2 linked regions of the Pelodiscus sinensis genome follow. Each later gene encodes a partner of the first gene's protein in a complex. Links are inferred from orthologs where the notes say so. Each region holds a gene or a part of one and is shown in the gene's direction. Other genes may lie near its edges.

The links.
Region 2: the proteins of FBXL5 (region 1) and IREB2 are in contact, whole or in part, in a cryo-EM structure (PDB 6VCD), measured with the Homo sapiens proteins. The link is inferred for Pelodiscus sinensis from reciprocal best matches to the Homo sapiens genes FBXL5 and IREB2. Residues at the interface, in NP_036293.1 of Homo sapiens: Asp656, Glu657, Tyr661, Cys662, Asp663, Asn664, Ile665, His669, Ala670, Asp671, Thr672, Ala673, Ser674, Gly675, Cys676, Gln677, Asn678, Leu679, Gln680, Cys687, Arg688, Ser689, Gly690, Glu691; in NP_004127.2 of Homo sapiens: Asp89, Phe90, Ser129, Asn217, Val220, Glu221, Arg224, Arg228, Ala758, Gly759, Ser760, Arg763, Asn764, Thr777, Pro778, Arg779, Asn782, Ser783, Tyr784, Gly785, Ala786, Arg788.

What each region holds. Positions count from the first base shown.
Region 1 is NC_134715.1:107,297,950-107,314,232, forward strand, and holds the start of FBXL5 (F-box/LRR-repeat protein 5), read left to right. Parts: upstream 1-7,938; 5' UTR 7,939-8,036; coding exon 8,037-8,120; intron 8,121-8,578; exon of another isoform or gene 8,579-8,794; intron 8,795-16,283.
Region 2 is NC_134724.1:39,659,403-39,675,534, reverse strand, and holds the start of IREB2 (iron-responsive element-binding protein 2), read left to right. Parts: upstream 1-8,258; 5' UTR 8,259-8,277; coding exon 8,278-8,383; intron 8,384-11,945; coding exon 11,946-12,035; intron 12,036-16,132. UniProt on the Homo sapiens protein: RNA-binding protein that binds to iron-responsive elements (IRES), which are stem-loop structures found in the 5'-UTR of ferritin, and delta aminolevulinic acid synthase mRNAs, and in the 3'-UTR of transferrin receptor mRNA.

The sequences.
Region 1 (16,283 bases):
AGCCCAGGGAAGAGCTGAAACAACTCCCCTTCTGCCCAGGGCCTGCCTCTTCACTCTTCCACTGTCCTGCCCTCTACTGACTCTTTCACACCTTTGCTTTGCCCCCACCCTGCCTCCTCTCCCAACAGAGGTGGACCAGGTCACTAGCAGGGCCAGCCCTGGCAGCAGGGGTCCATCCTCACACTCACCATTAGTGGTGAGGGAAGTGGAGCAAGGTGACCCACTGCTTTGCTCCCCCAGCTGCCACATCACTCCACTCCCACTGGGGGATGTGGAGCAATCCTGCTCCCTCCCCCCAGCGTGGTACAGCCAGGAGAGCAAAGCAGCATGGAAGCCTTGATCCGCTTTCCCAACCACTACCAGTGAGTGTGTGGGGGGAGGGGGGGAGGCGGAGAAGGCACAGACTCCTGCTGTGGGAGCCTGGCCCTCCCCGGCTGGTTGCTGGATGGCCCCTCCTGTCTCTAGCATTTTGTTGGGGTGGGGGCATGTGATCCCTTGTGGCCCCATATGATGTCCCGATCCCTGATCTATCTTCATTCTCCACCCATTAGATCTCATTATGCTGTTTTCTGATAGATTTAAGCTACCTCTTAATCAATGTTCCCTCTAAATTTTCCCATCCATGTGCAGAATACATTTACTTATGTACACCAAGACATGTGCACATGTACACCACCAATAGAAACACATGCTGCTGATTCTGGTCAGCTGTGTGCACTCTGCCAGTCAGCTGGGTGGCACCTGAATCTCTCCTGGGCTGCTGCCCAAGTGCTCACATTACAGGAAACACTGCTCTTAATCCCTCCTTTCATAAATTAATAGATTGAGCTTTAGACTCCTGCTGTTAGGTGTTTACTCCTGTAGCAGCTGCACCACACTGGGAGTTCATGTTGAGTTGGCTATCCTCCATGACTCATAAAGTCACTGTAAAATACTGCCCCCTATTGAGTGCTATATGTTGTTTCCAGAAGTATGACCTTGCATTTGACTGTATTAAAAAGTACTTTGTTCAAATACAATTTTTGAAGTGATCTCAATCACTGTTTCTGAATCTTTTTGATACAAGGGACAGCTTGCTGCCTTTCTAAACTGTGTCATAAAGATCTCAGGGACCAGTGCCAGTTCATGGACCAGAGGCTGAGAAACACTGATCTAGATCATTATGTAGGACTGACCTATCATTATTAATTTCTCCACCATTTTTGTGTTACTTGCTTACTTTGCCAACAATTTTATATATTTTATCCAGTTTATCTATAAAGATATTGACTAGCACCGGGGACTCCACTAGAAGCACCTCAGTTCACTGATGATTTCCTATTTAGTCACTTTTGGAATACAGACTTTTAAAATACATTTAATATATGCTGCAATGATTTTGTGTAGCATTAATTTTTTTAGTAAGCGTTGCACAGTGCTATGTAAATGTCTTTACAGAAGTCTATTATATCAACGCAGTTCCCAAAGAATAAGCTCTTGAATCCATACCACCTCTCTTGGGTATTAAATGATTAGCACTGACCTTGCTTTATCCAGTCATATGTGGTATAGAAATACTGAATAGCTTGCAGTCTGCATTGGATCCCTAACTCCAGTTTAGGAAAAAGGATTGTCTTGCCAATCACAGTGGACACATCCTCTATTGCAGTGTTTCTCAACCAGTGGTACAAGTACCCTCAGGGATAATCAAGAGAAGTCTGGGGGGTACGTCAACACAACTGAAATTTGGAGAAAACTGAATTTTTGTTTTAAGTTTTACAGTACTGTATTATTTTTGTACTTTTTACACCCAAAAATTTCATCGCCCACCCAGCTATGATTAAGTTGCTTCAACAAATGTGTTGAGATGGCAGAAATTTTTTTTGTGTGTATGAAAATTGTAGGTAGTTGGGATACTTATAATTTTTTTAAAAAAAGGGGGTACTTTATAAAAAAAAAGTTTGAGAAACACTGCTCCACTGTACATCAGCTTCTTGTATGTCTTAGTTCGTGGGTAGGGAACCTCAGGCCTAGGGGCTGGATCCTGCCCCAGAGGTTCAAGGATCTCCTCCTAGCATCGGGGAGTCCACACCTACTGAGAGACTGCAGCACACAAAATCTACTAGCCTGGGCCCCACTAGGCTCTGGTGTGCACAGTGAATATCTTTCTTCTTCTCAGTCAAGGGCCACATCAGTGAGGGTTTGGGTTGTTTTTTTTGTCTTCTCACTTGTGTGTGGCCTCCCCTCCAACTGATTTTTCAATGGGTTAGCAGCCCCCGATGCAAAAAAGGTTCTTCTTCGAGTGATTTCCCCATGGGTGCTCCACATTAGGTGCTGGACTTGCCCCGGTGCCGCAGGACGGAGATGTTCAAACCCATAGTCAGTCAGACTGTGCATGCGTAGAGGTGTGTGTGTGGGGGGGGGGGTGTCTCGCGGCACTTATGCTCTCCCGCGCTGCACGATCCGGTCTCAACCAGTTCCTCTTCAACCGCCTCAGGCTGCAGATGGAGCAATCATCTCTCCTTCTGGTTCAGCCTTTCATGAGAAAAACCCAGTTATAATTCTTCAGTTTATTTCTATAATCGTTTATTAATAGTTCTATATCTGTTCACGTTCATTTAAAAAAAAAAAGAATAAGTTTTTCCCTGTTAGTATATAGTCCTTTAAGTTCCATTCTCCTTCTCTTCTCCATTATACCTTAGATTCTTGTATATAATTTAAAAAAAAAATAGAAAACAAGCCGGAGCACACAAAGGGAAGGAGCAGCATTAACATCCATAATGCCGGGTTTAAGAAATGCTCCCTGTGCAGCGACTCCATGCCTGCGTCTGACGGCGATGCCGCGTGCATCCGCTGTCTTGGTAAGAGCCATGTACCGCAAAAATGCGTACACTGCTCAAAACTTACTGCCAGGGCCCGCCATGACTGCGAAATGAGGCTCCGCAAGATTCTCTTCGAGAAGGCGCTCTAACCGCCAGGGCCAGCTTCGGCCTGCGCAGCAGCCTCAGAAACGGAGCGCCTCCTCTCCTTCCAGGGCTCCTCCTAAGAGGACAAACAACGTCTTTTAAAAAATTTGCAGACTACCCATACTACCAACTGGCCATACCTTTGGATGAGGCTGTCTTGGAAGTTGCTAACGAACACTGGCAGACTCCTGCCTTTGCCCTTCCCACTAATAAGTGGGCCGATAAAAAAATATTTTGTACCCCCAAAAGGGTTGGAATTTCTGTTCTCCCACCCTCACCCCAACTCTTTGGTGGTCGATGCTGCCCAGCAACGAGCCAAGGCCTCTCAGTGTAAAACAAACTCGTTGGATAAGGAGTCAAAAAGGCTCGATTTATTTGGGAGGAAAGTATACACCTCTGCAACTTTGCTCCTTAGACTCGCTAACTACCTAGCGCATCTATCAAATCATAATTTCGATAATTATGCAAAGCTGACAGACCTGATGGAGGCCTTTCCTGAATCTGTAATCCAGGAGGGTTATGCCACCACTCAAACCAGTCTCCAGATTGCCATGGATGTAGCAGACACCGCAGCCCGCACCACAGCCACTGCAGTAGTTATGCGTAGGGCCTCATTCCTCCAAGCAGCGGGATTACCAAGGGAGCTACAATCCAAAGTGGAGGATTTGCCTTTTGAAAAGGATTCACTCTTCGGGGAAAAGACTGACTCAGTCTTACATTCCAGCAAGACCACTAGAACAACCTTACGGTCACTTGGAATGTACATCCCACCTTACAGGAGGAAACGCTATACACCGTTTCAAAGGCATTACGATTATCTCCATCCCAGACAACACCGGCAACCACAACATTGGCAGTTCGACCAGCCACACCAAAATCAACGCCAGAGATCAATAAGACGCCAGAATCAAAATAACCGTGCGCAAACGCATCCAGGCAATAAGCAGTACGTTTGAGGCATTGGTCGGAAGCAAGCATATAGCCCCCCAAAGCCTCGGTCACATCTTTCACCATCTTCTAAGGCCCTTTTACAACCAAATGGGCCAATAACACTACAGACAGATGGGTCTTAGAAATAATCTGCTCAGGTTATGTGATTCCATTCCATTTTCTCCTGCCCACAACTCCCCCATCCCTGTCCCTCTTCAGGGACCCCTCTCACGACGATCTGCTACGGGCCGAGATTTCCCCTCCCCTCCCCATAGGAGCAATAGAGAGTTCCATCTCAATTCCAAGGGAGAGGATTCTATTCCCGTTATTTCGTGGTACAGAAAAAAACGGCAGATGGAGACCTATACTAGACCTTCGACAGTTAAACAAATATATTCGAAAACAACATTTCAAGATGGTGACCTTAACCTCTATTCTACCGGCCCTGGAGCAGGGCGATTGGTTTGCTGCTCTTGACCTCAAAGATGCCTATTTCCACGTGACGGTTCACCCCGCTCACAGAAAATTTCTACACTTCATGATTGGCGCAGATCACTTCCAATATCGAGTACTGCCCTTTGGCCTCGCAACAGCTCCAAGGGTCTTCACAAAAACATTCGCAGTCGTCACTGCCCATCTTTGACGTTCAGTACAAGTCGTGATCATACTCAAATTAATGGGTTATATGGCCTCCGCGACATACGTCGTTCCCCACGCCATTTTACACTTTCGGTCATTACAACACTGGATGACCACAATATACGATCCCATAACGCACAATGTATGCAAGTGGGTAAATGTTCCATCCATGGTCAGGTCTTCCCTCTACTGGTGGACGGGAGATGACAACTTGCTTTCGGGCACTCCGTTTCATCACCTGCCACTGCATTGTCACATGACCACAGATGACTCCCTCATCGGCTGGGGCACTCACATAGGCGATCTCTCCGTACAAGGTCGCTGGTCGCCACAGGAATCCCTGTTACACTTAAATCTCCTTGAATTGAGGGCCTTTGCCAATGTCTGCAGACATTTCCGTACACACCTCCGCAACTCCACAGTGGGCGTCTTCACAGACAACATAGCAACCATGTATTATATAAACCGCCAGGGAGGTGTGCGATCCCGATCGCAATGTACGGAAGCAATCCGACTGTGGAATTGGTGCATTGCCGATGGCACCACCCTTCTGGCATCCTACTTACCTGGCATCTACAACACAATCCCCTCAGTAGGAATTTCGCAATAGCCCACGAATGGGAAATTGATCGGGATATTCTCCATTCCATCTTTCGCCATTGGGGCTCCCCTCGAATAGACCTATTCGCTACCGTCAGCAACAGAAAGTGCCACCGATTCTGTTCCAGAGTGGGCCTAGGCCACCACTCCTTAGGGGATGCCTTTCTCCTCAGTTGGAACAGTCCCCTCATGTACGCTTTTCCGCCTATCCCACTTATCTTCAGAGTCCTACAGAAGATCAAGCTCGACAAAGCCTCGGTCATCCTGATAGCGCTGGAGTGGCCTTGTCAGCATTGGTGTCCACTTCTTATGTGACTTGCACGACGTCCACCGTATCACCTGCTGTTAATCCAGAATCTTCTGACCCAGAAGTGAGGCTTTCTCCTTCACCCGCAATTGCATACACTTCACCTCTCAGCTGGTACCTAGCTGGCTGAATGCCTCCAAGGCCCTATGTTCTGACCGTGTCAAGGATGATCTCATACACAGTAGGAAACAAAATACACGCATCACTTACCTTTCCAAATGGCCACATTTCACTTCCTGGTGTTCTGAACACAACGTGGATCCTCAAATGGTCCCCATTTCCATCATCCTAAATACACGTGCAACAGAATGGACTAGCCTTATCGTCTTTAAGAGTCCATCTCGTGGCACTGACTGCATTCCGACAGCCAATAGAGGGATTTTCACTCTTTGCTCACTCCTTCACCAAGAGATTTCTCAAAGGCCTATTAAACCTAAACCCTCCTCTGTGCACTCCCACCCCACTATGGAACCTGGACTTGGTACTCTCCACCTTAACAGCACCACCTTTCGAACCCCTAGTCACCATACCTCTCCAGACCCTCACCCTAAAGCTGGTCTTCCTCATCGCCATCATGTCAGCACACAGAGCAAGTGAGATTTCGGCATTAATGGCATCGCCTCCCTACACCATCTTCAATAAGGGTAGTGTTATTCTAAGATATCACCTAGCCTTTACTCCTAAAGTTTGCTCAGAGTTTCATCTCAACAAGCCAATAGTGCTACCTACCTTTTACCCAAAACCTCATACCTCACCATGTGAGGCAACCCTCCATACACTGGACATACATAGGGCCCTAGCCTTTTACTTGGAGCGTATTAAACCATTTAGGAAAACTGATTGATTACTAGTTTCCCACACAGAACAGTCTAAAGGACAACCTTTATCATCCCAGAGAATCTCTAACCTAATTGTTTCCTGTATAACCCAGTGCTATACACTATGAAAGGTTCCCCTTCCACAATCCCTTAGGGCCCACTCCACTAGGGTAGTGGCTACCTCTACTGCTCTCCTTAAAGGCGTACCCCTTTCTGATGTATATAGTGCTGCCACCTGGCCATCCTATCAAATGTTTGCCAAACACTACGCTATTCAAACAAGATGGCTCTCAGATACTTCTGTAGCATCCGCAGTTCTCTCCTTACGTACATAGTGACATCTGAATCCCATTTCCTTCACTTGGGTGGGTACTGCTTCTCAGTCACCTAATGTGGAACACCCACGGGGACATCACTTGAAGAAGAGAATGAAGTTACTCACCTTCGTGCATTAACTATCGTTCTTCGAGATGTGTGTCCCCGTGGGTGCTCAACTACCCGCCCTCCTCCCCACTTCGGAGTCTGTTTCCTTTTTTGCAGATTCTGAGGCGGGTCCGAGGAACTGGTTGAGACTGGATTGTGCAGCGCGGGAGAGCATGAATGCCGCAAGACCCTCCCCCCTCCGCGCATGTGTGGTCCGACTGACTACGGCTTTGAACATCTCCGTCCTGCGGCACCAGAGCAAGCCCAGCACCTAATGTGGAGCACCCACAGGGACACACATCTCGAAGAACGATAGCTACTGCACGAAGGTGAGTAACTTTGCTTTCCCCAACCTCAGACATTGGTATGGCATCTAGTCAGGATTTAAAGGTTGAGTAAATTTTTTGGTATTACACCTAGTTCAGTAATGCAACTTCTAAGCTTTCATCCAGTTGAATGAGACTTTACAAAGTAATGAGAAAAAATGGCTCAGGTCTTGAAGGACTTGAAGGACTGGATTCTGTGAAAGGTGCCTTCAACTCCCATTGAGTAAAATCCCAAATCATTTCTGAAATGGGCTCTTAGCATATAATTCAGTAGACTGGGTTCCTTTATGTCAACTGTGTTGTGTGCACTCTACCCATGGCAGCTTGGGGATTGCTTTTCCCAATGTCAGCAGACCTTACTAGCACATGGGGATAACTGATTAAGTCTCAGCTTAGAGGTTTCTCTTATAGTTATAAGCTGGCTGCCTGCCCTGCTCTAACGTAGCCAGCTTTGCCAAGGGCTCTGCAGTATAAAGCTTACGTAAGCTTTATACTAGAGCCTGCAAGGGCATGTAACCCCTAGGATTTTTAGCAGTTACGTGGTTTCCAATGTGCAAACGACTGTTTCTATTCCTAGCACATGTGCACTGGAGAGCCAGATGGTTCCATTTTTTTCCCTGCGGAAAGGTGCATGAGGGGCCAGGGGATCCATGGGATCAGATGAGGATGCCCCGAAATCCAACCTCTGTCCCTGCTCTAATAGGAAGGGGCTGGCCCTGGAGATAGGGGCCCGGCAGCTTAGAGAAGGGCGCAGCCTGCAAGGAGGCGCTGGCAGCTCCGCCCATAGAGCGAGCCCCGCCGCCCCCGAACGCTAACTCTTTCAGGGGGCTTCGGCGTTCGCAAACAGCCCGCGCATGCGCGCACACTGCGACGCGCTCTCGGGGCCGTTGCGGCACGCCGCCGTTCAGGTGTCCCCTGTCACGTGACGGGGAGCACGGCCCGCTCCCAGAGCGGCCTCGGGGGAGTTGGAGCATGCGCAGAGCGGTGGTTGCTGCCGCGGTTGGTGCCGCTACTCGCGCTCGGCAGGGCGAGTCTCTATGGGGAGAACATGGCTCCCTTCCCCGACGAGGTGGATGTCTTCACGGCGCCGCACTGGCGGATGAAGCAGCTGGTCGGGCTCTACTGCGACAAGGTAGCGGGCGGGACGAGGGGGAGCCCGCGGCCGGAGCGGGGTGGGACCTGCCCGCCCCCAGGGGAGGATTTACAGAGTGCGCAGCGGTCCCCGCCCCTCTCCCCGGGACAGGGCAGGGACATGCGGCCCTGGCGGGCTGCCGAGCGCCTCGCTCCGGCCCGATGTCCACCCAGCAGCCGGGGCTTCTTCAGCCCCGCGAGCTGGGCAACTTGCGCCTGCCCCGGCGCACAAGTAGCCGCGTCTGCTTCCCGCCGCCCCCGGCAGCAGGGCTGTACTGCTCGGGGGCCGTCCCGCTGCCCCGCCCGCCCGCCGGGCTCTCTTCCCCTCTAGGCGGTTTTCACCCCCCCCCCCCCAAACTCCCAGCAAGGCTCCGCTGGTTTTTCCCGGCTGGGAAGAGCAGGGCTTGTTGTGGAGCCGCCCACCCTGCCCCTCCCGTTTTATAAGATGCAGCAACTTACCCCGTGCGGTTCCACTGTCGGAGTTAGGTGTACAGGGCCCTGGCGTGCTGTGCAGGTGTCGGTATCACGTGCCAGGCGCCCCTGAAGGACCGACATGGCTGTGAAGGAGATTTCTCAAACATAAAAAGGCTTGTTGATTACATTGGAAAGGCTGCGATTTTAGAAATCTGGCGCCTCCCCCCAAACTATGGTGTGCCAATCTCAATGGTGGCCGCAGAGCAGCTGCTGGCGTAGCTCTCTGCTGATGTTGACTTTTCTCATTTGAAGTTGCAAAACTACGTTGATAGTCGCTTTAAGAATACGTTAAATAGCTTCTTAATGTTATTTTTCCACAAAAGTAACCTTTGTCATTTCCGCAGCCATGTTATGTGATCACAATTGATCTGCCTTTTGGGAGAGGCATCTACATTACAGGTACAGGTAGTGCAGAGGGATGTGTGAGACAATCAGTAAAATGTCGTCCTCTATGCTTATAAAAAGTTTGAGCCCACCCCTACTGTAAAACATATCCTTTGATTGCTGCTGTTTTTGGCCTTAACATTCTTCTGTATTGGGCTTTGAATGCTCATACGCTTTTATTAATGCACTTGCTTTTTCAACATTGCTACAAAGTTTATAGCAAATCAATCAGTTTGTCTTCAAAGCACACTTCAGTGATGCTTAAGTAGTAGGACTGGAGAGTGGGTTGTTTTATATATTGACAAAATCGGGTATTCAACTGTCCAGTCTTCTGTGGGTTTACTTTCTAATTTTCCAACAAATTCATGCAATAAACTGTGGCCCAACCATCACAAACTAGGTACTGGGGCAACAAATCTAGCTTTGCCCTTTTAAGTGTAAGAAGGGAAGGAAAATATGTAAGATTGTGTTGGGTTGAACATATTTATTTACTCAGAGTGTAGTTATTAATGGTTCACAATCATGCTGGAAGGGCAAAACAAGAGGGATTCTGCAGGGGTCTGTTTTGGGACCGGTTCTGTTCAATATCTTCCATCAACAATTTAGATGATGGCATAGAGAGTATGATTATTAAGTTTGCAGATGATGCCAAGCTTGGAAGGGTTGCAAGTGCTTTGGAGGTTAGGGTCAAAATTCAAAATGACCTGGACAAACTAGAGAAATGGTCGGAGGTAAATCGAATGAAGTTTAATAAGGATAAATGCAAAGTTTTCCACTTAAGAAGGAACAGTCCATTTCACACATACAGAATGGGAAGTGATTGTCTAGAAAAGAGTATTACACAAAGGGATCTAGGGACCACAAGCTAAATATGAGTCAACAGTCTGACATTGTTGCAAAAAAAGCAAACATGATTCTGGGATGTATTATCAGGAGTATTGTGAACAAGACGAGAAGTGATTAGAATGTTAGGAGTCATTAAAAAAGAGATAAAGGCAATAAGATATTTTCTATCTTATTCTCTATGTAAAACTATGGTACGCCCTCATCTTGAATAGTGTGTGCAAATGTAGTTGCCTCATCTCAAAAAAGATACATTGGCATTGGAAAAGGTTCAGAGAAGGGCAACACAAATGATTAGGGGTTTGGAACGGGTCCCATATGAAGAGACATTAAAAAGACTTGGACTTTTCATCTTGGAGAGGAAGAGACTAAGGGGTGATATGATAGAGGTCTAAAAATCATGATTGGTGTGGAAAAAGTAAATAAGGAAAAGTTATTTACTTATTCCCACAATATAAGAATTAGGGGTCACCAAATGAAATTAATAGGCAGCAGGTTTAAAACAAACAGAAGGAAGGTTTTCTTCACTCATCACACAGTCAGCCTGTGGAACTCCTTGCCAGAAGATGCAGTGAAGGCTAGAACTTTAACAGGTTAAAAAAAGAGCTAGATAGATTCATGGCGGTTATGTCTATCCATGGCTATTAGCAAGGATGGGTAGGAATGGTGTCCCTAGCCTCTGTTTCTCTGGAAGTAGGAGACAGGGGAGGGATCACGGGAGGATTACCTGTTGTGATCCCTCCCTCTGGGGCATCTGGTATTGGCCACTGTTGGCAGACAGGATACTGGCTAGATGGGCCTCTGGTCTGACCCAGAATTGCCGTTGTTATGATCTTATGATTCTTCCACTGTACTCTGTACTGATTAGGCCTCAATTGGAGTGCTGTCCAATTCTGGGCACCACATTGCAATAAAGATGTGGAGAAGGTCCAGGGAAGAGCAACAAAAATAATTAAAGGTCTAGAAAACATGAGTTATGAGGGAAGGCTGACGGAATTAGACTTGTTTAGTTTGGGAAAGAGAAGACTGAGAAAGGGCATGATAGTGATTTTCAAATATGTAAAAGGGAGGAGGGAAAAAAATTGTTCTCCTTGGCCTCTGATAATAGGACAAGAAGCAATGGGCTTAAATTGCAGCAAGGGAAGTTTAGCTTGGGCAACAGGAAAAACTTCTGAACTGTCAGGGTGGTTAAACACTGGAATAAATTGCCTAGGGAGGTTGTGGAATGTCCCTCACTGGAGATATTTAAGAGCAGGTTAGACACACGTCTATTCAGAATGATCTAGATCAGAGGTGGGCAATAATTTTTGCAGGATGCCATTCCAAAATTTTGGATAGTGGTCAAGGGTCACACTCTTCCATAATATTAATAAAGGAGATGTGGGGTCTGGGATGGAAGTTGGGTGCAGAGTGGTGCTTTGGGGTAAAGGATTGGAGTGTAGGAGGGAGACTGGAGTCTGAGAGGAAGTTTGGGTGAAGGAGGCGGTTGTGACCTAGGGTAGGGGATTGGAGTGCAGGGTTTTGGGATGTGACCTCTGGTAGAAGGGGATTGTGATCTGGGGCAGGAGATTTGGGCCCCAGATCTTGGCAGGGGTCTGAGCGTAAGAGGGGGACAGAGGGTTTGGGTATATTGAGATTGGGGGGGGGGGGGAGAAGAGGGTTAGGGCAGGGAGGGGCTGGAGTGCCAGAGGCAGGCAGTGGTCAGGACACTTACCAGCCAGCAGCCAAATCTGCCTGCCTGCACAGCTAAGGCTTGCAGAGCTTAAAATGTTTCTCTGCCTGACTGCCTGCTTGCCTGGCCATGTGCTTCATTGAATAACTGAGCTGAGGATGGGTGGGGTTATGGTTCTTCTTGGCTGCCTGTTGTTCAAACAGGCAGCTTCCATTGGCTGGTTTCTGGCCAGAAACCAGCCAGTGGGATTGTGCTGGGGATGAAGATGAGGTGGCTCCTGAACCCCCACCTCCTCTAGTTTTGAGACAGAATGGAAGCCTGGCTGCTGTGTTTCTGCATGGTGCGTGGGGCTGCGGGGCAAGCAGGGTAGCCTGCCTGGGCCTGCTGTCTCCGCGGGCTGAATCCGGTGGCTTGGCAGGCTGCATTTTGCCCATGCCTAATCTAGATGGTGCTTGGTCCTGCTGTGAGGGCAGGGGACTGGATTTTATCTCTTGAGGTCCCTTCCAGTTCTAGTATTCTGATTCTGTTTAAGCTCCTTCTTTATCTCCGACCTTTGTATTTGAGATCAGTCATGTTTGCTAGATAATGGAGAAGTTCCTGAATTGTTTTTTGGCTTCCATTCTAATGAGGTTATTGTTAGTTACTCAGACCAAATTGGTAGAGCCGTGCAAATCTGTGGATATCTACTTTATTTCTGTGCATATCTGCACCTCTGCATGTGGGTATCTACGGCTCATTTTTACAGATTCAGAGACTAATTTTGTATCTATGCAAGGCTACACATCAGGTTTCACTGTATAAAATATTAATTATTTTCAGGTTGTCCTTTCACATCCTATGAAGCATGTCAATTTTGATTTTAAGATCTTTCTCTAATTTCTGTTCACATGTTAGTGAACCTGTAAATTTTAAATCTGTCTGGAGGAGCACATTAAAGAAAAGGTACTTCAAACCATTCTTTTGAAGGGAATTTATCAAGCTGGCGTCTTTTACTTCTTACAACATAATTGTACATTAATCTTTGTTGAATTTGAGGAGAAAATGCTCCTGACTGAACTGAAATGCTGCTCAAAGGCCTGGATAAGGGATTTATATTATTAAAGTGTGACTACATTTCTCTAGCAACACAGGCAATGAAAATATTTCATTATTAAGGGTTTCAAAATTAGGGAAGTGTTAGTATACATGTTTAAATGGTTAACTGATGAACCTGGGCTCATTGATTAACCTCCATGGTTACACACCATGGAGGGGAGCCAGCTGGCTCAGCATGCATTGGCTCCTGTGGAACTGCTCCCTCTCTCCACATGTGACCAGTGAAAATTAAAAAAAAGAAAAAAGCCTTTTAACATCCCTAATCAAAATCAGCATTCTGATTTTCTGTTTCAAAAGACAAAATTTTGTTCAGTGACACATTTGACTGTGAAGAAGCTGACTCTTTTCTGGATTTACATAGCCCAGATAATTTCTATCTTGCTGCATAACAGTTCTTAATATTATTTTCATTTTACATTAGAAAAAATATTTCCATTTTTTCAGTACTCACTCCATTTCACTGAGCTGTGAGTTTGTTGTCAGAAACATATGCAGTGATATTTGGTAATAATTAAACTCTAAGCAGTGACTACAGTGTTGATTAGTGAATACTTCCCTAGATTTAGTATGAGAAACAACCACCAAGCAAATTCAACTCTACTAAGACAGAAAAATAAAGAGGAGTTTATAGAGAATGTTTATATAAAACCACATTATTAGTTGTCTTTCAGTCCTTATAAAAGTTTCTAAATTCAAATAATAGAGGCCTTCTTATAATTTACAACTTTGCTATCCCCTCGTCAATATCCCAAGACTATTAAATGAGCTCACTAGCGATGCCACTTGCCATTCTCAGTAACTCCATCAATTTATTTTCCCATCTTTGTTTCGAGACAGTTCTGTAACTTCTCATTGTGTTTATTAGAAAATAACACTGATTTCATCACTTTTCTTTACAATATTTTCAATCACATATGAAAATTTCAGTGTGTTCCTAATATAATTTTTTTTAAATGAGGTGTTCTCAGGTAAATCAGAGGTCTAAAACATGAGAGAAACCAGCAAATCTATTGTATTGGAGTCTCAGAGGGGTAGTTGTGTTAGTCTGTAACTGAAAAAAATTGAGAAACAACAAATAGTTCTGCAGCACCTTAGAGACTAAGACCATGTACAGTTTTTGTTAGTCTCTAAGTTGCTGCAGAACTATTCATTGTTTAAAGTTTTATTGTATTGGAGTTTTCAGAATTAGCTCCTTCCCTAGCTCCTCAACCACATCTCCTTCCGTGTTCAGATCTTCCTAAACAGCAACTGGTACATCAGCTCTCTCTTCCTCCTCCCTTCAAAGCTGACCAGCAGCAAAATATGTTCCTGCTTCTCTAAATCACTTTTCCCTCCCCACTTTATCAATTGCTATCCTTCCAGCATCTACTTGAGAGCTTGAGCCCCAACCCTCTGCCTCAGTCCTGAGCCCCCTCTCATATGCTGAACCACTCAGCCCTATCCCCTCCCCATCATGAAAATTCATTCTGCATATGGGTGGGAAAATTAGAGGGAGGGAACGCTAGATTCTGCAGCTAGGAGTGAATCTCCCAGTCAGGTAGATGGACTCGTATGAATGGGAAGGGAGAACACTAAAAATAGCACTGTGGTGATTGGGGCTGGATTCCAGGGACAATGAAATCTAGGGGCTCAAGTCTTTTTGAAGACCAGAAGGTGGTATTGTTTGTCTGCCCCATGGCCATGGTGAAAAGTTCTGAGACCATCTGGAACCTGGAAGTGCTCCGGGCAGCCGGACTATTGGAGCTGCTCTGCCCCCGGCTTCCCAGAGTCAGCCGCTGGTCAGTTTCAGCAGCGGCTGACTTGGAGACGCCTGGGCCAGAGCAGCTGGGGTGCTGCTGGGTTGGTCCCGCAGCGCCGAGGGGTGCATCCCCCACACTCCACCCCAGACCCCTCATAGCCCCACCTTCCGATAGTCCGGCATATCTGATAATCGGGCACCCCCGGGTCCTAAAGGTGATGGATTATCAGAAGTTTACTGTAATAATGTAGAATTAAATTTATATGTGTGGTATGCATATTCTTAATCTGTTTAGCTAAAATATATTAAAAGGAGAAGTTTAATTTTATCCTATTGATTACTTCTGTTGAACTTAGGTAAACTTCCAATAAGTGACAGAATTATTGTAATCGTTTGCACAGTGCAGCTTGTAATGTATTGTAGGGGATAGGCTGACCTGGAGTAGCATAACTGCAGGTTGCACCTCCTTTAACTGGGACTCTCTGTTCCAGCAACATCTGTGGTGTGGCATGGACCACAGAGCCGAGGAACAGGGAGGTTTGGTGGTGGGTCAGAAGCGTGAGCCCAATATGTGTGTGTTTGAGTGCGTGGGGGCAGGTGTCATGGCTAGGAGCTTCTTTCCCAGCAGCCGCCAGGCAGCTCTGGCCCAGCCCTGTTCTAGCTCCAGCAGCCAGGGAGCTCCAGATCTAGTGACATCTAGGGAGCTCTGGTTCCAGCGCGGAACTGCAGTCCCAGCTCTCAGTCCTGGCTGTGAAGCTAGGTGGTTGCAGTGCTCTGGCCCCACTGCAGCGGGTCTGGCAGCATTTAGAGATCCGTGAGGGGCTAGGACAGCATCAGAGGCAGGCTGGCACCCTAACCTGGTGGCAGTACCGGTCAGGAGAAGAAGCATCTCCAATGGTCTGGCAAACCCCCTAATTTGAGACCAGTCAGGTCCAACCTGTATTTAGTAACCACTCAGTTTGTTTCACTTGTATCACTACTGGTTGCCAAGAAAGTGACAATATGGCTCTAGAAACTAGAATCACACTGTTTTTATACAATTTGTGAGTTGCCTTGTAAATTATGGGAAAGATTGTATACATAAATAACTGTTTAGCTGTTGTAGTACAATCATTATTCTATTTCCATTTCTCATGATTGAGTAAATTAATATATTTCTGTTATTGCTTTTTTCCCTTTGGAAGTCTTGATCTTTTGTTATCTCTCGTGTGGTGACACATGCTCAAGACACATGCTTAGATAATGCTTTATTGAATTGAAATAATACTTTGTGCAGCATTATGATTGCATTTCCTTTTATGAATGTAAAATCATGTTAAGGCTTGCATAGCAATTGTAACACAACATATGCATATTTAATATGTTGTATTGATATGTTTTGCAGAGCTTCAGGCTAACTTTTTGGTTTGATAGTTGGCAGCTCACCAGAAGTCTTTACTGTTAACTCTGAATATTTGTTGCTTCCATATTATCATATACTGACTATACTTAGGGGAACAAAAGCTCTTTCTGAGGTATATTCAAAAGATGAGGATGATGAACCCAATAGTGAGATCCAGGACAAATATTGGATGAAGGGCATAGATTGATTTTCCTGGCTGATGGGTGAGGGAAAAGTTTGTTGTTGTTTTTTTCCAGGAGTTTTGGCTGACACCTTGTATCTATCTCTAGCTTATTGAAGTCTGATGTCCACACTGATTGAAGGCAGATACAGCATCACATAATGCAGGTTTCTCAATCCCATTGCCATCTGCTTTTCAACTGAAGTGAGTGTGTGACAGCAAGCATGTCATGGGAGGACAGTAAGTGTGTGGGCATGCTATCTCGTAAATTCTAACAGAGTAGTAAGCATCTAGTCCTGAAACAGGGAGCCTGAGTCCCCAGCCTCAGCCCCTGCCTCCCTCCCTGGCTTTGCACAGCACAGAATCTCTCTGCTGTTTGTGCATACACCGCACTCC
Region 2 (16,132 bases), on another chromosome or scaffold:
GGAAGGATGCTTGGATGCAGGAGAAGATTCTGGCCTGGGGGAGGGATGTAGGAGGAGGCTCTGGGTCGGGGAGGGAGTTGTGACGTAAGGTAGGGAGGTGCAGAGGGTTTGGATGGTGACCTGGGGGAGGGAGCTGGGCTGTGGGAAGGGCAGGAGTGCCAGAGGCAGGCTCTAGCTGGGAAGTACTTACCTATGCATCTCCTGATCTGCAGCACCCCCCAGGCAAGCTGGGCTCCCTTCCTGCTGCAGCCCCAGACCGCTTGAAAATACAGGCTGTTCCCTCCATGTGGATCTCAACTGCAGGTTGGGAAAGAGGCTCGCGCTGCCCCCATATCCCAGGCCAATCTCTCCGCTCTGATTGGCTTGCTGTTTCCAGTCAATAGAAGGTGAGAGATTGGCTGAAGTCAGTTATCTGGCCAATAGGAGCTGAGGATTGGGCTGTGGGTGGGGAGATCACACAAATCAACCCCGCTCCCTGCAGCAGAGAAACATAGGACCTGTACTTTAAACTGCAGCAGCTGTGTGCCTAAGACTCCTGGCAGGGTGGTTCATGGGCTGGATCCAGCCCCTGGACAGTATTTCACTCAGCTCCAGGTTAACTGGCTAAACAATATAATTTTACCCATTTAATGGGGTAACTATTTTAACGGTTTGCCTTGACCCCCACTCCCCAGAAACTTTTCCACCTTACTTCTGCAGATATTATGGAGCAAACGCAAGCAGTTACAACAGTGGGAATGTGGCTTTCACTGAAGTCGAACTTAGTAAATAAACTTCAGTACCTTGTCTTGCATTCTGCATTTGTTCAGCCAGTAGTTCCACGTGCAGGGCCAGGTAGGCAGGCAGAACCTCAGAGTCTCCATGTGTTGATGAGACAACGGTATAAGGAGAAGGGGTTTAGATTTATTAGGAACTGGGGAAGCTTTTGGGAAAGAGGAATCCTCTACAGGAAGGATGGGCTCCACCTAAACCAAAATGGAGCCACACTGCTGGTACTTAACATTAAAAAAAGTCATAGAGGAGTTTTTAAATTAATGGCTGGGGGAAAGTGGAGGGGTGCGGAGAAGCACATGGATCAAACAGAGACATCTCTTGGGGAGGGTCTATTAATAGAGGAGGAGAGGATGGAAGATGATAAATTATGGGTAAAATCAGATGAGAAACAAACCAAAAAGAGTCTAACGCATCAGGAAATGGCACACAGATAAATAATGATACATTTTTAAGTACTTATACAAAAATGCTAGAAGTCTAAATAATACTGTAAGATGGGTGAATTAGAGTGCTTATTATAAAAGGAGGATATTGATATAATAGGTGTCATAGAAACTTGAGGGAATGAGGACAAGTCAATGAAACACTGTCACACCAGGGTACAAAATATATTGGAAGTACAGATCATGCTGGTGGGGGAATGGCACTATAAATAAGTGAAAGAAAATATAGAAACAAATGAAGTAAATAAACCAAAATGTTCCATAGAATCTCTATGGGTAGTAGTTCCGTGCTCTAATAATAAGAATATAGCAGTAGGGATATATTATCAACCCTCTGACTAGGACAGTGATAGTCAGGGCTCGACAATTAATGTAATCTACTCACCCGTGGCAAGTAGATTACAAGCCGGCACAGATGTGCAGCGCGATCTGCACATGCGCACCGTGCCGAACTGTGCGGCCGGCGAGTGGGGCTCGCCACGGTTTGGCGAGCCCTGGTGATAGTGACTATGAAATGCTAAGGGAGATTGGAGAAGCTATCAAAATAAACTCAGTATTAGTGGGGGATTTCAACAATCCCCATATTGACTGGGTTTATGACATCTAAAGACAGGATGCAAACATTAAAATGTCTTGATACCTTAAATGACTACTTCTTGGAGCAGCTAGTACAGGAACCCACAAGGGGAGAGGCAATTCTCGATTTAGTCCTAAATGAAGCACAGGATCTGGTCCAAGAGATAAATATAACTGAACCTCATGGAAATAGTGACTATAATGTAATAAAATGTAACATCCATTATTACAACATAATGTAATAAAATGGGAAAAACAGCACAGCAGCCCAACACTGTGGCACTGAATTTTAGAAAGGGGAACTACACAAAAACGAGGAAACTAGTTAAACAGAAATTAAAAGGTACAGTGACAAAAGAAAAATCCCTGAAATCTGCACGGAAAGTTTTCAAAGATACCATAATAGAGGCCCAACTTAAATGTATACCCCAAATTAAAAAAAACACAGTAAGATAACCAAAAAAGTGCCACTATGGCTTAACAGTGAACTAGAAGAAGCAGTGGGAGATAAAAAGGCATTGTTTAAAAAGTGGAAGTTAAATCCTAAGGAGGAAAATAGAAAGGAGCATAAACTCTAAGTTTAAAAATATGAGAAAATTCAAAAAGGAGTTTGAAGAACAACTAACCAAAAACTCAAAAAGTAATAGCAAAATATTTTTAAATGCATCAGAATCAGGAAACCCGCTAAACAACCATTCGGGCCCCTGGATGATTAAGACACTAAAGGATCACTAAGAGATGATAAAGTCATTCCAGAAAAACTAAATGAATTCATTGCTTCAATCTTCACAGCTGAGGACATTAGAGAGATTCCCAAACCTGAACCATTCTTTTTAGGTGACAAATCAGAGAAATTGTCACAGATTGAGGTGTCATAGGAGGAGGTTTTGGAACTAATTAATAAACCGAACAGTAACAAGTCACCGGGACCAGATGGCATTCACCCAAGAGTTCTAAAAGAACTCAAATGGGAAATTGTGGAACTATTAACTGGTTTGTAACCTATCGATTAAATCAGCTTCTGTACCTAATAGAAGATAGCTATTGTGAAGCCAATATTTAAAAAGGGCTCTGGAGGTGATCCTGCATAAATGGCCCACCTTGATAGAACCTGTAGGCTACTCATAGGGCCAGGGCAAGTCACCCCTTATGTCCCTAACTCCTCTTCTTTGAGGTGCAGCCCTTGTCTTGTGAAGTTGTGTCCAGAGCAAATCCAGTATCTACAGCAGGAGTAGACAAAACACCTCTCAGCAGGCTGGATCCAGCCCACCTAAGGCTTTGATCCAGCTCAGGCAGCAGTTGCAGGCCCTGCCTCCTGAGAGCTGGAGATGTGTGAGCCTTTTCAGCTGCTTCTATTTAAAGGGCTTGCACCGGCAGCCATGGGGAGGTCACAAGCCCTTTAAATAGGAGCAGCTGAAAGGGCTTGCATGTCCTGGTTCCCAGGCAAAGTGCTAGTTGCACCAGAGCTGCAAGCCCTTTAAATAGAAGTAGTTAACAGGGTTCCCCACTCCTAGGCTTTGTCTACACTGGCGGGTTCTTGTGCAAGATCTCTTGTGTAAGCAAACATCCACACTGGCCAGAACCGCATCGTAAGAACGCTGAGCTCTTGCACAAGAAAGCGTCCACGCTGGCGGGAAGCCCTTGCACAAGAACGTGTCTCTGGAAGAAATTTGGCCATGTCAAGAGGTCACCAGCAGTGCCTGTGGGCATGCGCCAGAGCCCCACTGGGAAAAGTACTTAAAGGGACTCCTGGACGGCTGTTTCCTTTGTGAGGGAGCGAAAGCCACAACAGCACCTGTCACCTCTGTTCCTAGAAAGTGCCCCTGGGCACCCTCACTGCCACCGTCACAACCATGGAGCCGAAGGAGGACCCCAGCCAGCAACATCCCCTCATGGCCATGAAAAAGACTGTGGAGCTCCTCCACCAGGGAGTCACATTGCTCCAGCAGGAGCTGGAGAGTGGGCAGCAGGTGCAGGACCTCGCCATGGCTGCAGCTGGGCTCGGACACCCGCACTCCACCACTGACAGGCGCCTCTGGAGCTACGACCCCAGTGGGAACTGGTGGGAGTGGCTGGTGCTGGGACAATGGGGTGACCAGCAATGGGTGCAGAACTTCCGGATGCGCAGGGGGACGTTCCATGAGCTCTGCACCTGGCTCACCCCTGCGCTCGGGAAGCAGGGCACCCGCCTGCGCCCCGCCATCCCCGTGGAGAAGAGGGTTGCGATTGCCCTCTTGGAAACTGGCCACCCCAGACAGCTACCGCTCAGTGGCGAACCAGTTCAGGGTGGGCGGGTCCACCGTCGGCACGGTCGTCCGGCAGGTAAGGCCCTCCGTGGACCACAGGCTCGTCCTGGGGGAGGGAAGGAGCCAGACCAGGCGGGGAGAGGCTGTAGGGGCAGGGGGAAGCCCCACACCCAGGGGGTCATCCTGTCCCTCCCCTGGGACCCTGAGGGGGGGAGGAAATCCCGGGGAGCAGAGGGCCCTGGCCTCCATGGGGGGAGGGGCCATCAAATGGAGGGTGAGCACACCCTAGGGGCCCATGTATGCACTGTGTCTCATTCCATGCATCCCCTGTGCTCCCAGGTGCCCCTCTGCAGGTTGTCCAAGCCATCAATGATGTGCTGCTACAGAGGGTGATCCGCCCCCATGATATGGACATCACCATTGCCGGCTTTGCCAGCCTTGGGTTCCCGAACTGTGGGGGAGCCATAGACAGAACCCACATCCTCATCCGGGCGCCAGAGCACCAAGCGGCCCAGTTCATAAACCGGAAGAGCTACTGCTCAGTGGTGCTCCAGACACTAGTGGACCACCAGGGCTGCTTCCAGGACATTTATGTGGGCTGGAGGCGGGCACCTACTTCCCCTAGTGGGAATTCACCATTGGAGATGCCAGTCTGCATCCTGGCTGATGCGGCCATACAGGCCACTTTCAACAGCCACCTGGACCGGGCCCGCAATCCTGTGGAGTGCACCTTTGGGCATCTGAAGGCACGGTTCAGATGTCTCCTGACCCGCCTGGACATGGGGGTGCAGCACATCCCGGAGGTCCTCTCGGCATGCTGCGTGCTCCATATTATTGAGGGGAAGAGGGAGGCCGCCTTCCCAGGCTGGATGGCAGGTGAGGGCCAGGCCTACCAACCACCATGGGGTGCGGGTCCAGGAAACCCTCCGGGTGATGCTGGATCAGGCCCCACAATAGGCCGCCCCTACACCTATGACCGCAGGGATGCCCCTGTGCCCCCAATTCCCACTCCCATCACCACCCCTTCCTGCCACCCTTCCCTCACCTTCCAATAAATAAAATGCACTGGCTTTAGATAAGGCACTTTTATTTACACAGGAAAGGGAGTGCACTGTGGGGAGGAGGGGACCCGGAACTGGGAGGAGGGGGGAAGAGAGGACCCTGAACTGGGAAGAGGGGGGAGGAGGGGACCCTGAACTAGGAGGAGGGGGGAAGAGAGGACCCTGAACTGGGAAGAGGGGGGAGGAGGGGACCCGGAACTGGTAGGGCCTCATGATTGTGAATGGAGGCCTCTCCCACCCCCATGGGTGCAGGGACACCTCTGCCCCTCATGCCGGGCTGGGGCAGGCTGCACCAGGAGGTGGCAAGGCAGGGAAGACCTCGGGAGGGGGCATGGGCAAGGCAGGGGGAGAAGCGGAGGAAGAGCTGAAGGTGGCATAGCGGGGCCTGGCAGCATTGGGCTGCTGCACAGGGTCGATCGGGTCTGCAATGGTGCCCAGGAGAGTGCACACATGGTCGCAGCACTCCAGGTACTGGCCCCACACCCGCTCCCGCCACTTCGCATCTGCGGATCTTCTCCATCAGAGCGTGCTCCATGAGTTCAATTGCGCAGACGTGGTGGCAGAGCAGCTGGTGGCGGTCCCGGGAGCGCTGCGATGGGCCCTGGATCCTTTGCGCCGGCGGGATGGGGCTGGAAGATCCCTCGCTGCCAGGGGGTCCCACTGCAGGAGAAGCAAAGGAGAGCAACATGGTCAGTGAGCCCTGCCCCAAATGGTGTTCCAGAGCCCCGTGCCCTCCTCCCAGCACGTCACGATGCCTGGGGACAGGTGTGGCTGGTGAGGGGGAATTCCCCTGGGGCAGCGTGAGGGGAGTCCCAAGGTGGCCCAGGAGCCCCCAGGGGGGCCGCATGTGCTTGGGGGAGCCTGTTGTCCCTTTCCCAGGGGAAGCTACAGTGTCCCAGGGGTGACCATGGATGTGTGCTGTGTGCAGCACCCTTTAGGCTGTGTGGGGTCAGGCCTGCAACCTTGGGCTGGCCTACTCCTGGTCAAACCCAACTGCCCCTCCCCCAGTCTGGTCGAGCGGAATCCCCGGGGTCCCAGGCGTGTGCTGGGGCGAGCTGCCACTTCTCTGTGCCACTCGGTCTGGCTGCACGTAGGATTGTCGGATGGTTTCAATAAAAATACCGGACACACTTGACGTTACATGACAGTCTACATTACACCTTAGTTAGAAAATCCCAGACATGTATATTTTCTCATTTATATCCCCTCAATTTGTTTCCCAAACAGAAAGCTCAAAGACTGGACTGTCCAGTTCAAAACTGGACACCTGGCAACCCTGGCTGCACAAGGTTGCACGTGCTGCATGCCTCTGCGCAGCATGTGGCCAGGCTGTGCCATGTACTGCTATCTCTCCCCCACCCCTTCTCCAACACACTTGCGAATGGTAGCCACTGCACTCACCAGACAATCCGTTGCCAGCTTCAGAGGATGCCCGGGACACATCCTGACTGATGGTGATGTCAGGATGGTGGGCCAGGATGGTGAGGTCTGGCTGCTGTCCTCTGCCACCTCCTCCTCCTCATCTGAGGACCAGTCTCCCTCCTTCTCCTCCTCCTCCTCCTCCGGTTGCCTACATCAGACCACTGGGGTGGCCACCGCTGTGTCCACGTGGGCCAGCAGGGGACTGGCCCCTTTGTCCAACAAGATCTGTTGCAGGCGGTGATAATGGGGACAGGCAGTGGCTTCGCCACCCCCACGCTCACTGGCCCGCACGTAGGTGAGGCGCAGGTCCTTCACCTTGGCCCACACCTGTTCCAGGTCCGGGCTGGGTGTCCCCGCACGGCCAGCGCCTGGGCCATCTGTGAGTATATGTGGGCATTCTTCCTCTGGGACTTGGGTTCCCGGAGGGCCTCCTCCTTTCCCCAGAGATCCAGGAGGTAGTCACCTCAGCGGTGCTCCAGCATGAAGCCCGCCACTTGGTGCCCCTTTGGGCCTGCTGGGTGCTCTGGGGTGGCTCCTTGGTGGGGGTCTGAGGGACCTGACTGAGGCTGGGCAGCTACCATTCCTCCCTCTGGCTGCTATCCGGGCCACACGTGGCAAATGGCTGTGCTGCATGCCTGTGCCTTTAAGGGGGGAGGCAATTGGGGGAACCGAGTGATGATTGTCTGTACGGAGTGTCAGAGAGGCCACCTGTGTTTTTGACTGGAGGCCAATTCTTGTGCAAGTACGCATTTGCCGAACGTTCACACTGCCCTCTTGCGCTAGAGCTTACACCTGATAGAAAACAGCGTAGCTCTTGCACACGGAGCCGTCTCTTATCACGCCATACTGTACATTTACTTGCACAAGAGCGGATGGGCAGTGTAGATGCTCTGCGGATTCGCAAGAAGCCGCAAGTGCAGACGTAGCCCTAGAGCACTGCCTGGGAGCCAGAACACACAAACCTTTCCAGCTGCTTCTATTTAAAAGGCTCGCACCTTTACAATGGACGCCAAACAACGTGTTGCCCAAAAGAGTTCTTGCGCAAAATCATGCCAGTGTAGACGTAGCCATGGTGTGAACCCTTCAAACAGAAGCAGTTAAAAGGGCTTGCAAGTCCTGTCACCCTAGCAATGCACTAGTGGTGGTGGGAGCTACCAGCCAACTTAACTGCTTCTATTTAAAGGGCTCACACGTTCCCCACAGATGCATTACCCGGCAGCCACTCAGCAGGTGCAAGCTCTTTAATAGAAGCTATTGAAAGGGCTCACTGCTCCCAACCCCATGCTAGTCCATTGCCTAGGAGCCAGGGATGCATGAACCCTTTCAACTGCTTCTATTTAAAGGACTGTCACCTTCCCCATAACTCTCAGGCAACAGCCCTGGGGAAGGGGCAGCCCTTTGGACAGAAGCAGCGGAAAGGGCTCTAGCATGCCTGGCTCCAGGCAATGCACCAGGAGCAAGGCCAGGAGCAGCAAGCCTTTGCAATAGCAGGGATTGAAAGGGCTCGCAGCTCCCCTGTTAATGTGATGCCAGGCCCCCTCACGCTCGCATCCAGGCCAGCCCAACCATAGACAAGCCACCACCCCCTCCTGGAGTGAGCCTGGAAGTATCGCGAGAGCTGCCTCGCTCCGTTCCCCCCCTCCCTCCGCCGTAGGTCTCGCGAGATCACCGCTGTTTTTCCTTTCTTGCCCTGACCCAAGGTGTTGCGCTCGCTGTCAGCTAATCAGATGGCCGGAATCCACGGGTAATCTCGCGATGTTTGCTGCTGGCGCCGCCCCCCTCCGCCTCCCCAGTCTTCCTCCGCGCCCCCCTCCCCACGTAGCGTTAATATGGTCGCTCGCGATGGACCCTGCACGGCCAGGTGAGTGCGAGCGGGGCTCGATCCCTCCGCCGACGGGCCCCGCGTAGCCGCGCCCCGATTCCCCGGTTCGCAGGCGCCTGCCCCGCTCGCCGCCCCTCCCCGATCCGCCGCCCTTTGTTCGGCCCCTCGCCGGTCACGGCTGAATCCCGTCTCCCCTGGGCGTGTAGATCTAACGGGGCTGCGTAGCGGGCGCACCCCGCCCTGGTAGCGCTCCGCCTGCGCGCTCCCGTCGCGGCTTGTCTGCGCGCCGGGCGGGGGCCGCCCCACAGCTCTCCCCCCCCACAAAATGGCCAAGCCCCGCCCTTGCGACACGGGCGGGGGGTGACCCCCTTAGCGAAGGGTGAGCTGAGCAGGGCCCATCACACACCTGCCAAGCATTCGTGCCGCGACACGGGCTGGTGGAGTCCCCACGAGCATGATGTACTGGGCCCCACGTTTCTCTGGGCAGGCATGTCTGTCACCGAGGGTACGTCTAGACTACCGCGTTTTGTCGACAAAACTTCCGTCGACAATTTGCGTCCAGACCCATGGAGTTCTGTCGACAAAGCAAGCCGCGACAGAACTCCGTAGTCTGGACGCAACGTTACAGGCAAGAAAGAACACCTTCTGTCGACAGAAGGTGTTTTGCCTCGTAAAATGAGGTATACCAGCGTCGACAAAACCGCGGAGTTCCGTCGACGTTATGTCGACAGAACTCCGCGGTAGTGTAGACGCTGGTATTGTTTTGTCGACAAAAGTCCACTTTTGTCGACAAAACTAGGTAGTCTAGACACACCCCAAGTCTCTCAGGGTGTGTCTAGGCTACCTAGTTTTGTCGCTTTGCAGTGTAGACAGAGCCTAGGAGAGCGAAAGAGGATTTTCTTCTCTTCAATTCTATCCCCACCTTTTGGACTTTTGTCGACAAAACTATACCAGTGTCTACACTACCGCTGAGTTCTGTTGACATAACGTCGACAGAACTCAGCCGTTTTGTCGACGCTGGTAAACCTCATTTTACGAGGCGTAACACCTTCTGTCGACAGAACTCTGTCGACAGAAGGTGTTATTGCCTGTAACATTGCGTCCAGACTACGGAGTTCTGTCGACAAAGCAGCTTGCTTTGTCGACAGAACTCAGTGTGTCTGGACGCTCTTTGTCGACGGAAGTTTTGTCGACAGTATCTGTCGACAAAACTTCCGTCGACAAAACGCGGTAGTCTAGACGTACCCTCAGTCTTTACCAAGCTCTTCCAAGTCCTGGGTTAACAACAGAAATGGGTTGAAAACAATGGATCTCCTGCTTGTTTTCTTTTTGAGTACCTTTGACAATGCTGCAAAAGCGACGAGGAGTCCTGTGGCATCTTATAGACTAACCGAAGTGTTGGAGCATAAGCTTTCATGGGCAAAGACCCACTTCGTCAGATGCAGTATTTGACAATCCTGTAGAGAAGCAAGGAACAGATAGGGCTTTAGTTTTTAACCTTGGGTTAAAAATCCCATCACTTAGATAATTGAGTGCCATGTCGATCATTACTTCAGAAGGTGGAAGGGCTGGTTCATGCAGTTACTATTTATTAAGCTGTCTCACTTCAAGTTGGGGGCCACTGATTCACAGAAAAATCAATTGGGGCTGCACACAAGTGAGAAGTGGCCCTCAACTGAGGAGAAAGACACTCCCTACATTCCCCTACTACACCAGAGCATAGGGAGGCTCAGCCTAATAGATTTTGTTGCTCCAGCCCCCAGGTGGGGCAGTGGGAGGGCTGGAGTACCAGTGCTGGCTCTCCAATGCTGGGGCGGCGGGCTTAAGCCTTGGGGGCCAGATCCTGGCAAGCCGGGGGCTGCCTCCAGCTCTGGGGGGTCTGAGCTTCCCCACCCCTGCTTTAAATGTTTGTGAATACCTATCTCACTAATCTTTTGATCTGAGGAAGTGGGTCTGGCCCACGAAAGCTCATCATCTAATAAACCATCTTGTTAGTCTTTAAAGTGCTACATAGTCCTGTATTTTATCTCCCTAAGTATCTCACTGTATTTTTTAAATGATTATGTCCACGTTCTTCTGTTATTGTTGACCATTTCCAGTTCCTTTTTAATTTCCTTATCCTGTAAATACATTTAGCAAGTGAGTAATGTGCTACTCAGGCATGTTTGCCTTTCAGAGTTAGGGTCTAAATGATCAGCTGTTAGTAGAACCTGTCATCATTGTATTAAATTATCATAAAAGTAAAATAATCTGTGAAGTGCCCATGATGCTGCATTTACATTATAGAGAAAATGTGACCAAAGAACCAAGGCAGATCACTAAAAAAGTTAAGCTTCTATTGCTGGTACAATCTTTTAAAATCAATGAAGTCCATTTTCGTGCAAACACTGAGGCTACGTCTACACTGGCCCCTTTTCCGGAAGGGGCATGTTAATTTCACCTATCGTAGTAGGGAAATCCGCGGGGGATTTAAATATCCCCCGCGGCATTTAAATAAAAATGTCCGCCGCTTTTTTGAAGTAGGAATAAGACCCTCCGGAAAAGGGCACTTTTTCCGGAGGATCGGGGCCAGTGTAGATGCTCTTTTCCGGCTTTTTTAAAAGCCGGAAAAAAGCGGCGGACATTTTTATTTAAATGCCGCGGGGGATATTTAAATCCCCCGCGGATTTCCCTACGACGACTGGTGAAATTTACATGCCCCTTCCGGAAAAGGGGCCAGTGAAGACGTAGCCTTATATTTAACTTTACTCACTGGAATTATTCCATTAATCCTTGTAAGGCTGGTTGTGGGTGGTATCAAGTTTTAACTTTTGTTTTTAAAACAAAATTGAATTTCTTATGTATGTTCTTTGGGCCTCCCTAAAACGTTATTAACATTTTTGTCCACTTACATTAATATCAATTGAGTGGCAATAAATATTATTTTTGTAAATACCATTCATATTGAAAACAATTTCAAATTAATATGCAGTTCTTTTCTACAGACTTTTTTCTCTTCCCTTGGTAAATAAGGTCTGTTAATAAAGTGGCTAGCTCAATGGTTTGAGCATTAGCCTACTAAACCCACAGTTGTGAGTTCAATCCCTGAGGGGGCCGTTCGGAATAGGAAGCCTAATCCGAACTACCTAGTTCGTGCCACGTGTAGCCGCGGGCACGGAGTCCGAACTAGCGGACATTTAAAAATGGCGGCGCCTGGCAAGATACAAATGAAGCTCGGGAAATTCAAATCCCGGGCTTCATTTGCAACTCTGGTTGCCTACATTAACCACCCTAGTTCGAACTAGGGTGGTAGTGTAGACATACCCTATATAGAGACTAGATGCCATATTTGTAATGGTATTTAGATATGTAGTGGGACTTACAAAGGTTTCTACATGTCTAACTCCTATTGAAAGCCTCATTCCTTAAGAGGTTTGAAAATCCTAGTTGGTACCTATTTAAGCACCTAAAGATCTGGCCCTGAGTGATTTGTCCAGCGTCACACAGTGACATCTCTGGTGAAACAGGGAATAGAACTGCATTCGTTTGAGTCCCAGGCTACTGCCTGAACCGCTGCACCATCTTTTCTTTCCACTTCATAATTTGCTGCATTATTTTTCAGAATTTCCGTTCCAGTACTTAATTGAAAGATTAAACGGCAACCCAGAAAAGAAGTTCTACAATATCCCTAAACTTGGAGGCACCAAGTATGGTAATACTACTTTTGAATAGCTTTTTATTCGTATGGTTCCACTGGTAAATATGTACCAGTTATGTGATGCAGGAGGAGGAGCTAAAAAGTTGAGTAGTAGCTTGTTGTGAGATGAAAGAAATGATGCTTCACCAAGCTTTTGTGCTATGAGAGCAGTGAGAGATGCTACTTGATCTTTATTTTGAATGCTTTCAGTAAGTCATAGAAAACATTTCCATTACAGAAAATCACTACTTCTGTTACAGAGTTAACAAGTGATGACAAAAACACAAACTCTGTGTTAGGGATGTTAAATGGAGTTTAATTTACTAATCAGTTAGTCGATAAGCGGAGGAAATCGCGGAGCTGCAACGGGGTTAGCTCCTGGCCCTGGGAGTTAACCTCTCCGCGGCTCTGCCTTTTACATGTATGAAGAGCTTGCCAGCTCTTCATACATTTAAAAAGCTGAAGCGCTGTGGGGGAGACCAGGCGCGAGCCGGAACAGCTTACATCCCTACTCTGTTACCTCTCTTGTAAATAAATGCACTGAAATGAATTTATGGTGTTATCACATAATTCTTCTACATTTGTGTATCACTGACCTATTTACTCTAAAGACACTCTCCTGTTTCTTTGAGGGTTTCCTTGTGTTACAGTTTAGAGCCAAATGCATTTCCCTTAAGTCAGTGGTCACTGACCAGTAGATCGCGATCTTGGAGCTTCTGTCAGATGATCCTGACTGGTTTGGCTAGGAAGTTATCAACAGTTAGCACTTCAGTTTCCCCTCCATCCACTGTCATGCTGCTCCACCCCTCTGCTTGGAGCTGCACCGTCCCTCCCCCCAAGAGCCTCCTGCTTGCTATGCAGGGTGTGGGAGGGGAAAGAGGGGGGCAGTGATATCAGGGTGTCTCCTCCCCTCTTATTCATGTACCCGATCTCCACACAGAGAGAAGGGAAGGGAGGGAACTTGGCAGTGTAAATATCTGTCACTCTCACACACTGTGTCTCTCTGTCAGTCTTACACTCACACACACTGTCCATCACTCTTGTCTCCCGACCCAACATATACGTGGGTTGTTGTTTTTACTTCTTTAACCGCTTATGAAGTGTGTTAGTTTTGGTTTGTGACTGGTCTGTGCATTTCATAAGTTTCATTTCTCTCTTATGCTTAAATTTAATTCTTTGAGTAGTGAGTTCTAAAATGCCTAACCTGTTGTGGCTGGGGTCATTATCTCTATGGTAATTGCTGCTTCTGGAAGTGGCTGGTGTGTTCCTGCAGCCACTGAGAAAGCATGTGGAGACCCCTTCTCTGCCTGTCTTTGCCTGCAGACACCACTCCTGCAGGTCCCATTGATCAGTAGTGGGGTTCTGTGACCGGTAGAAACTGTCGGCACATGGAGCCATTGCTGTACATGCCAGCTGCTTTCAGGAGTGGTGCAGGCTCACGACAGGGTAAGCCTGCTTTAACCCCACTGCTCCACACCCATAAGCCATCTCAATTATATAGTGCCCAGCCAGAGCCTGCTTCCTGAACCCCTGTCCCAGCCCTGACCCTCTATGGTAATTGCTGCTTCTGGAAGTGGCTGGTGTGTTCCTGCAGCCACTGAGAGAGGCAGAGCAGGGGGTACCCAAACTCCTTCCCAGAGCCTGCACCTCAGCCTCCTACCCCATGCTGGTGAAAGTGAGTGAAGATGGGGAAGAAAGGCGGATGGAGTGAGCAGGGTGAAGCCTCGGAGAAAGGGTAGAGCAGGGATGGGCCTTCAGAGTGGCGGGAAGGAATCAGGGTAGGGGTATTTGGGTTTGAGGTAGATCTTGTATTGCACATAAATAGAAAGTGATTTTTTGTTTAAAAAGGTTGGAGATCACTGCCCTAAGTGATGCAGCAAGGGTACTTGCTGTCAGGCTTCTAGCTCCCTTGGTGTTGCCTTACGTGTATGGAGACTTACTTTGATCTCCTTCCTAACTGGGTATTTCCTGGCTGAACAGTTCCCTGATTATACTATAAATCAGTGGTCCCCAACCTTTTGGAACTGCCGCGTGCCCGGGGGGCGGGGCCACACACGCGCTGGGTGCCCGGGGGAGGGGCCCCCCATGCGCTATGCGTCCAGGGGCGGGGTCGCCAATTCACTGCACACCCAGGGCCGGTACCCCCCATAGCCGCGTGCCCGGGAGTGGGGCCTCCAATTTGCCGCACGCCTGGGGCTGGCGCTCCCCATGCGCCGTGCATCCGGGCGCAGAGCCGCCCATTCCCCGCACGCCTGGGGGCGGGCCGCCCATTCGCTGCACACCCAGGACCGGTGCTCCCCAGGCACCACGCGCACGGGTGCGGGGCTGCCCATTCGCTGCGCGCCCGGGGCCGGTGCCACCCATGCGCAGTGCACCCAGGACCAGCCCCGAGCACTTGGCGAGTGCACATAAATACCCCAGCGGGCACCATGGCGCCCACAGGCACTGTGTTGGGGACCACTGCTATAAATTCACCATCGATGTCAGGCTGCATGCTTTGCTTTTTTCTTTTAGAGATAGTTAACAATGCAATTAACATAAGCACTCCCTATCCAAGTATATTTAATCATTAGGTATAAACAAAGAATACAGATAAAATATTAAACAATTCAAAGAACCTAATTACATACTAATAAGCTTACCAGAGGTCAGCCCCACTGTCTTTAGTATGGGCTCTGACCATACTAGTCCTTCAGCACTCCACCAAAGAAACTTCTATTGTGGTCACAAGATCATGCTATTCTTAGCTCAAAACTAGAGGGCTTATGGAAAAGATTAGATTATTTTTATAGTTTGGAGGTCTTTGAACTGGAATTTTTATGAGTAGCTAATCAATAGCTACTCATGAAATAGGTAATTGGTTTCTCTCTGCATGGCTTAGCTTCAAAAGGATGTATTCCTAGTGAGTCATTTGCATTTCCTTTGAAGGAGTAAAGTAATGACTCTCTTCAATAGTTAGAGTGCTAAGTTGGAAAAGGAAGAAAACCCTCTCTTCCAGTAAATATGAGGGACTTCAAAATTATCAAACATATATTTTGTATTATGTGTTCTGAAAGATGGGAGTTCCAAACCAGGGCCCTGAGACCGCATTTGGGTAGTTATCCTAGAACTTGTATCTTACCAAGTCATCCATCCTCCATCTCATTTGTGACTCTCTGTTCTACAGTTTAAATGGTCCATCAATTTTGTTGGTTCTAAATTGCTATAGAGAGTCTGGTTGTCATAATATTTGAAGTGGGAGCACAAGTATGAAGTTATGAAAAAATTGTACGTCCGTGACAGACTGAAAAATCTTCTGTCTTTTGGACTTTTGAACTATGTAACTAGAAAGGTAGTGCATTGAAATTCCTTTATTATTCATTAAAGAGAAGAATACAGTCGACAAGATAAGATTATTTTGTTCTGGTAATTTGAATGGTATGGTGACATCACATTTATTTTAATCAGATTTCTGTTCAATTTGCTTTTTATATGAATTATCTAATTAGAGAATTTCAGTGACTGCTTGGTAAAATGTATCTAATGTAACTGAAGCCACCAAACATTGATGCAATAGTTTGTAGGCAGACAAAGTCCATGGTCTCTGTTGAAACTAGGGATGTGAATAGTTAACCAATGGTAGCTGGAGCAGCTCTTATCCACAGCACACCTGGCCTGCACGCACAGCTAACGGGTGTTCCAGCCTGGTCAGAGCATTCCCCCCCTCTTACACCTTCCCATCAGTTTAATAAGTTAACTGGTTAAATTTAATGCTTAACCTGTTAACTAATTGAATGGGATTTTATATGCCTAGTTGAAACAGCCAAACTCATCTGTTAACATTATTCAGAGCTGAGCTTTGGTCTCTAGAGCTGAAACACTAATACATGAACCTGTTTGACCAGTTATCTACCACTCTTTATACTTCCCCTTATTATTGTATTATTTGACCACTTGAGTTGTGCGGAGTAGAATTATGTTTGTGAGTGAATGACCTGAAAATTGAGTACCTAAATGTTCTCCTTTTCTGCCTTCAGTGGTGATTGGCAGACCTTTCTTTTTTAGGCTGTCCCTCCTGTGTTTTCCATCCTTGAAAATTTCTCCCAGTCTTTAATGTAATCTAAAGTAATAGC